Drosophila melanogaster: one gene and its partner. The protein of the gene in region 1 interacts with the protein of each later gene in a pairwise test. Each region holds a gene or a part of one and is shown on either strand. Other genes may lie near its edges.

What was found. Proteins that work in one complex are often made in the same cells at the same time.
Region 2: the proteins of CG31482 (region 1) and CG10979 interact in a two-hybrid assay, tested with the Drosophila melanogaster proteins (one large-scale study listed by BioGRID).

The regions. Positions count from the first base shown.
Region 1 is NT_033777.3:6,599,096-6,602,708, forward strand, and holds CG31482 (uncharacterized protein), read left to right. Parts: upstream 1-2,146; 5' UTR 2,147-2,214; coding exon 2,215-2,256; intron 2,257-2,314; coding exon 2,315-2,443; intron 2,444-2,500; coding exon 2,501-2,817; intron 2,818-2,870; coding exon 2,871-2,970; 3' UTR 2,971-3,106; downstream 3,107-3,613.
Region 2 is NT_033777.3:5,792,620-5,796,372, reverse strand, and holds the start of CG10979 (uncharacterized protein), read right to left. Parts: upstream 1,669-3,753; 5' UTR 1,489-1,668; coding exon 1,333-1,488; intron 1,225-1,332; coding exon 1,078-1,224; intron 996-1,077; coding exon 533-995; intron 463-532; coding exon 315-462; intron 1-314. Other genes in the region: PSMG1 (proteasome assembly chaperone 1), read left to right, coding at 2,151-2,251, 2,305-2,732, 2,797-2,975; Hpf1 (histone PARylation factor 1), read right to left, coding at 3,051-3,753.

The DNA.
Region 1 (3,613 bases):
AGTTTCATAATTTGATTGTAAATGATGGTAATCGGTAGCTTACAATAAGCTGGCTCACCTTTTTTTTTAAGATTTCTTAGGATAGGTAAGTGCCATCTCTGATTTGAATCTAGATGCCACGGGGTGAGGGGCACATAACCTCCAGGAGCGAATAAAACGCGCTGTTGCACACGAAAAATAACAAGCTGCGTTGGTCAATTCATCGAATGTCGGTCAGGGCTGCCGCCAGGGAGAAATGGATTGGGCAATGGGCACTGGGCAATGGGAAGCAGGAGCCCGGAGGTGGGTAAGACCACCTGGGCGGAGGTCCATGCAGGGGGCGACATAAAAGTTTCACACCCAGCCATTTGGCCATCAGTGTCCAACAGAGCCGTTGGGCCGGAGTTGCTGTGTTTGAATTAAAAGAAATTAGTTTAGTTATGCCAATGCTCCCCGGGCTACGCTATTGAGTTATCGGCCAGGCAGGAGTGGGACAACTTGGTGCCGGTGACAGGAGGCAACTCGGATGGATAAATTGCAAGTTTTCCCTTACAATTTTGAGTGTGTGCTGCTTGTCCTTGCGTGCCTGGAATTTCAGAAAAAATAAACGCTTTGCGTGTTGCTCTTCTGATGTCGTTTAACCATTATGTGGCATGAATTTGCCATTTTCATTTAAATGCTGCTCTTGGCAGCGAGTCAACTCGTTGGCTTTTTAGCGACTGTTCTGCATTCATAAGCAGCAATCGTATATATCCTGCGGAATGTACTGAAATTGTTGTTGGATTTAGGTCTAAATGTATACAAAACTAGTATTCTTATTTGTTAAGCCCTGAATAAATTTAATTTTTAAATTGCATAAATTGCAGTGCAGTGAAATCATCTGTAATACCCATAGTACCAAAAACCTTATTTTTGTGAATGATTTTGTGTTGCGTACAAAACCTAGATTTCACGCTGATCATTTCCATTCCTAAGTTTTGAAAACAGCAGAGGTGCCATCACCAGTGACGAACCAGATTATGCTCATGCTGGTGCCATCGAAATTGATAGTGGAAATATGTGTGCTGAATGGGATATTTAAGCGCGCCTATCAAACACGCGCACAATAAATCTTCGTCACGGGCCCAAATTGACATTTTACAGCCAAAAACCAGAAACCAAAGCCACGCAGAGGACAAAGTAAGTTCCACTAGTCCGTGTTCCAGCTGCTTTTTTGCTCCTGCGGCTGCCGCTGTTTCGAAAGCCACTGATATTGTTGTCAACGATGATGGCCCAAGGCATCAGCCACATGTGTGGGAGCCAGAGCTCGTCCCTCCTCAAAGTGCCCTCGCACATGGTTGGCAAAGCCAAACCTTTATTGCCACAGCTCCATGGAGCAACAGCGAAAATTTAATATCTGGCTGGGGCGTGGCTCCATTGGAGCTGGTCCGTTGTTGCTGGCGATCAGAACTCATCGCATTATCCTTTGGCCTGGTGGCGGTTACTCGCTCAAAATAATTGCACACTGCACCCCCAATAAGTCTGTTCGCCCGTTTGATACAGAGAAATTTCTATTCGCATTTCCCAAACAAAAGTGGTGTACAAAAATAAAACTGCATATAAGTTTTAAAACATACGCCATACAAAATATATTAAAAAATGTCCGAAAAAATATTGTGCTTTTCCTCGTTCTGGTTTTCAGTGTCTCTGTGAAGTCATCTGTCAGTACCCTAATGCAAAAAGCATGAAACCTCAGGCCAGCTGTCAACACAACAAGCAAATTGCCGCGGAAGCATCAGTTTTGAGGCAACTAGACTTTTTTGATATGGAAAAACCCCTATCAGTAAGAGTCACTAGAACTATAGGTTTATTTTTAAAAATAATCAGCTCCTTTAACACAAAGTTAGACTTCTAAGTAGACAAACAAAATTTAACCCTCGTCTAATTTGTGTTTCTTTTGAGATTGGTTTTGATACTCAGCTTTCCATGCATTATGTCCGAATCTAAAGTCAACTTCATATTTTAGTAGATTTTTGGAACGATACTCATGTACAAATGATACAAACTGCATGAGAAGTGCACGGACTAAAAACTGTATTAATTAAGGGATCCTCCATACGCTTTATAGGTACACCAAACTAATTACAATTTAAGTAACTTTTAAATTACGTCACCAGAATTTCGAGGTCTTTAAAGCAATCAGAATCCTAGATAAGTTTGTCAAAGTTTTCGTGCTATAGTTATTCTCAAAAAAACATGTTTTTGGTGAACATATTGATTGTTTTGGCTCTATGTTTGGTATAATTAAATATTTAGTAATTTTAAATGAAATCTGATTTATTCTCCTGTATTCTAGTTGGTGTTGGTTATAGCTGATCTTCAGGAGGACCATCTAAATGAACACAATCGGTTGAGGGAGAAGCATGGAAGTCCGCCTCTGACCTTGGACGATGAACTCACAAAGGGATGCGAAGAATATGCTAAAGTATTTCGTTGGTTAATAACAATGTTACCTTTTTACACTTTTAATACCCTCGAACAGGTGCTAGCCAATAATGAAAAGTTAGAGCATTCAAGTTCTGCCGGTCAAAACTATGGTGAAAACTTGTGCATGCGGTCACAAACCCCTCTGCAATGTGTTCAAGACTGGTACGACGAAATCGCGGACTACGACTTTGAAAAGCCACAGTTTGCAATGTCAACGGGTCATTTCACCGCCCTCGTTTGGAAGAATGCGAAAAAAATGGGTATTGGGCAAGCCAAGGACAAAAAGGGTTACTACTGGGTGGTAGCAAGATATTATCCACCAGTCAATGTGAACGGGCAGTTCGAAGAAAATGTTCTTCCGCCGATCAAAGGGTAAGCAAATTAATTACATCTGTAGTTTTTTCTTTCATTTTATTTCATTGCAGGGAAGGTGATGAAAATGGTCAAGGCAATTTGAATAGATTTCAAGTTGACAATATTCCCATCATAGTCATGCTTTGGTTATGCTGGCAATTCACAAATTGAGGGTCATTATCACTTTGAAGTTTTTGTGCCGCAGTTCTTGTAAATTTGTAGTTAAGCAATTTGAAAAACCAATTACTGATATTTGAAACTACTCTGTACCCAATAATAAATTTCACTTTTTGGAAGTTTGGTGAATATGCCATTGTTAGTTATGTAAAACCATTCTATCTAGTTGCTTGCAACTTGTAGTTCACCAGGAAGATATTAAAACAGCACACGATATTTAATGATCGAAACTGGGGAGTGCTGCCTTAACACTGGGGTGTTTGGCATTTACAAAAACTATTTAAATGCATGAAATATTTTGAATTAAAAAAAAGAGAGAATGTTATAGTCGAGTTCCCCGACTATCTAATACCCGTTACTCAGCTGCTGGCAGTGAGAACGTGATATTTCATAATTTTCTGGCATATCGATAGATATTGGAGAATTTAATGGGAAGGCGTGGCTGCATGGATGAACAAACTTGTGCTTTAGAATCTGTATGCTTTATCTTAACCTTATAGCTTATATAATTCCTGAAATTTCGACGGTCATACGAACGACCAGACAGACGGACATGATCCTGATCAAGAATAAATATACTTTATACGGTCAGAAACTCTTCCTTCTACATACTTCCTTGACATACTTTTTAACGAAT
Region 2 (3,753 bases), 810 kb from region 1:
ATAATTTTTAGAAAAACCACTATCCCTATAAAAATGTATCTGTTATATTTTTATTTATGATTATTAGTTGTTCTGTTTTTATGATTCAGGGCTTAAAAAATTCACATAAATAGAAAGTAAATTAGATTGTTTCCTTGGAAACAATATGATTTTTGACATATACATATATGTATAAGGAATGCAGTATGCAGTAAGCAGATATAAATGGACCATGTGAAAGAAAAAAGGAACCTGTCCCCTTGAAGTAGAATAATATCATATATTTTATAATAATAAAATATAAAAATTCTATGGTCGGGTTAAGTTGAACTTACTTGTGATCCTTCGACAAATGACGAATAACAGCAGCGGCCTGCAGAAAGGTCAGCGAACAGGCTGGGCACTGAAACACAAACGCCGATGATGAGTGATGCTTCTGAATGTGCACCTCAAGCGTTTTGTGCGTCTGAAACGTCAGATTGCCTGTGAACGAGATTAGGAAACACAGCTATCACTAATTGTATTCAAGGCCTATTCGGTTAGGTAGTCGTACAGATCTCGCAGAAAATACTCGGCTCCGTTTCGTCGCTGATGGACTGCTCGCCGGAGTCGCTGCCTGCATTGTTTTCCAGCTTAACGGTTGCCAAGGCCTTGCCGTCGGGTCCCACAATGGTTTCAGATGGATTAAGCATGCGATGCACCTCGTCCAGTTCTGTCCTTATGCTGTCGTCGTGGTCCACTTTGATGGTCTGATAAACAGCCTGGCTAGAGTTGGGCACAGACTCCAGCTGCAGAACAGTGGGCGAGCTGCACTTGGCCTGTGATGTAGCCTTTTCCCGTCGCAGACGCTCTATAACACCACTCAGGTCCCTTATGCCGCCGCCACCTCCTCCTCGTAAGGGACGCACGTCGCGGGGAACAGGCGAGCATCCCGTGCTTCTGCTGCGTAGCATATGTTCAATGTCCTGCGGGGACGGACCACCACCCGTTTGTATGATCATAGTGGAATTCTGATCCTGGGGGAGAATTAACAGCGATTAGTTGACATCCTATGGTATTAGAGACCTTGTAATGGGGTTGTCTTTACTGCCCACTCACTGTGTATCCGCTGCCATTTGCCGAACGAGCGCTGACGCAGCAAAAGACGCGTTTGTGGCTGATGAAATTGGCCAGGCTGCGAAACATGTTGCGGCACACCTTGCACTCGTAGATCAGGCTGCACTCCAGACTGAGCAGCTGGCGCACCTGTGGGAGAATCTGATTGTTATCCGGGGATCCACCAAACTGGGGCGCAGGAGCCTCCGCCATTGCGGGCCACAATTGAGTCACGTACTCCACTCAGATGAGACTCACCTCGCTGGTGCCATCCTCATAGGCCCGACGGGCCTCCTCGAATCCCGTGTGGGCGGTGCGCAGCGGCCGCTGCAGCAGGCTGATGTCGTCACCGTTGTGGTCCATCTGCTCCTCCTTGAAAGTGTCAGAGTTACAACGTGAGCTTCGCTTTCTCATGGCGCTGGTTTGCGCGCTTGCTCCCACTGCTAACCAAAAAATTTGAGACCTGTCCTAGCGCGCTGCCCTACGGAATATTTTCACCGACGTGAGGTTCTTAATCTGTTTCTAATTAGCGATCAAAGTGGTTTTCCAATTCGAATATGGACCTGCATCTTGCATTTTTTGTATTCAGTATGACCGTGCTTGAGCGCTGCTTCTGCTGCGATGCTGATCTGGTATTTTTATTAACCTGTGCGGAATTTTTTGTTTCAACTTAAAAAAAAACGGAAGAGTCGAAAATATTTAATCAGGCAAAACCAATAAGCTGGAACCACATTTGTTTTAATATTCGACTAGAACTAACAATTGAAGTTTGATTTCTCCCTTGCTCAGTGGGCGTAACTTCCATCAATTCTCAAAACCCCCAAACAATATTGTCAATACATAATTTTGGAATTAGCTTATTGTTAAATCTTTAATTGACATGCCAAGCCCTAATAAGTTCAGAAAAAGCGCTAAAAGTTCCTAAATATTACCTGCAAATGTAATTTATTCAAATAGAAAAACGTTTATTTTGGCGTTCAGCACATGGTCACACTGATGACTTGAAAAAAACATAGTGACCGGAATTAGGCTCATCATATTAGTTTCACCTTTTTTATTAAATCAAAACAGACACGATGAGCTGTCCAGGATTTGGAGAACTAAATATACCCTCGTCGCGTGCCTTCTGGGACGACTGCGACGAGGATGAATTGGAGAACCTTAAGCCGGTGGAGAAGTGCGTGATCTAATGTTATTTACGTAGGTAGTCCTAATTTCTTGGATTCGCAGGCTGCAGCTGAAGTTTGATGATGATTGCGATGGGGAAGCTGCCCCTGTGGAGAGCGAGATGCTGGTGGTCATTGAGGGCGTCAACGTCACTCACTTCGCCTCTTCTCTGCTGGAAAAGGATGCAAAGCGTGTGTGCGCCATTCCTGCCAATAACTCGACCCTGCACTGGAGTCATTCGTCCAAACAGTTGCTGGCCATAATCAACGAGGACCTGACCAGTAGCGGCGAGGTAGCGGAGCTCCTACTGCCGTACGTGAAGCTTGCCAAGAAAGTGATCACTCTGACGCTTAAGCCAAAGGTCGAGTTCAAAAGCGAGGACATCCAGCTCTACCGGGATCACATTGCCGTTGTCCGCGGCATAGGTGCCAACCAGAAGGATATCACTGAACTAGAGGCTCCCAACTTTATCGCTGGAGTTGCAGCAGGCGGTGAGTGATGAGTGGAAAAGGAGAAGGTTGAATCACCTCACCATCTGTTCACCTTTTTTTGCAGTTGCCAGTTGGCGGGATCAGATGGAATTGCCTGTTACCTCTTTCGTTATTTACACCGACAAGCTGCCCCTCGACGCCACAGCTGCGCAGCCAGTGATCAAGGTACTTAAAGCCGCGGGCGTTGCCTGCAGCTCGAGCTACATCCCTCCGCGGAAGGAGAGCTCTTATTTGTACATGTGAAACTACTTTTGGCTGTGCTCAACTTCCTAGTTTTAATGCTTGTAAAAATGATACGGTTGCGGAATAAAAATCGAACTACTTAAGTACATCAAAAATGCTGAGGTTGTCCTCCCGACTACGTTGCTCCATGTGCGCCTTGGCGATGGCTATGAACTGTGGACGGGAAAGCATTGAATAGGCGGGTACCAGCAACGATGAGGCAAGCATGTGCAGCTCCTTGTGCCCACTGCAGAACATATCGATGCCTAGTTCCAGGGCGCTTCCAAAGTCCGATTCATCAACTGCTATGTTGGCTGCGTTGGCCACCGGCTGCAGCTTCTCCAGAACCGCCTGCTTGGCGGCTCCATTATCGACGTCCTTCCGCTCAAGCATTGCCAGCATCTTCTTGAGTTCGGAATCGCTGACAGCCAGCGGGCGGTATCCCACTTCTGTCTTCTGGTCAAAGGGCACAACAATGCCGGCTCGGTGGAATGTCTTGGCCACAACACGCTTGTTGCGCTCCCGCTGCAGTCGGTCCAGCTGGGCCAGTTCTAGGGAATTGTCACTCAGGTATTTTGCCACCGCCTTTTTGGTCCCCGCCAACTGCCCGCATGAGAACGGAGTGGCCGCAAAATCGTGCTCCAGGTAGTAGAGGAAAGCATCGAAGGCATTTCCAGCGACGAATTGGAACTGGCAGCCTTTCGCAGAGTCGTTGCGGGCTATTAAGAGATTTTCCTTGTCCTGCGGCACATCGCGCCAGTAACCGTAGTGAATCCCAGTGCCTCGGCGCACGAAGATC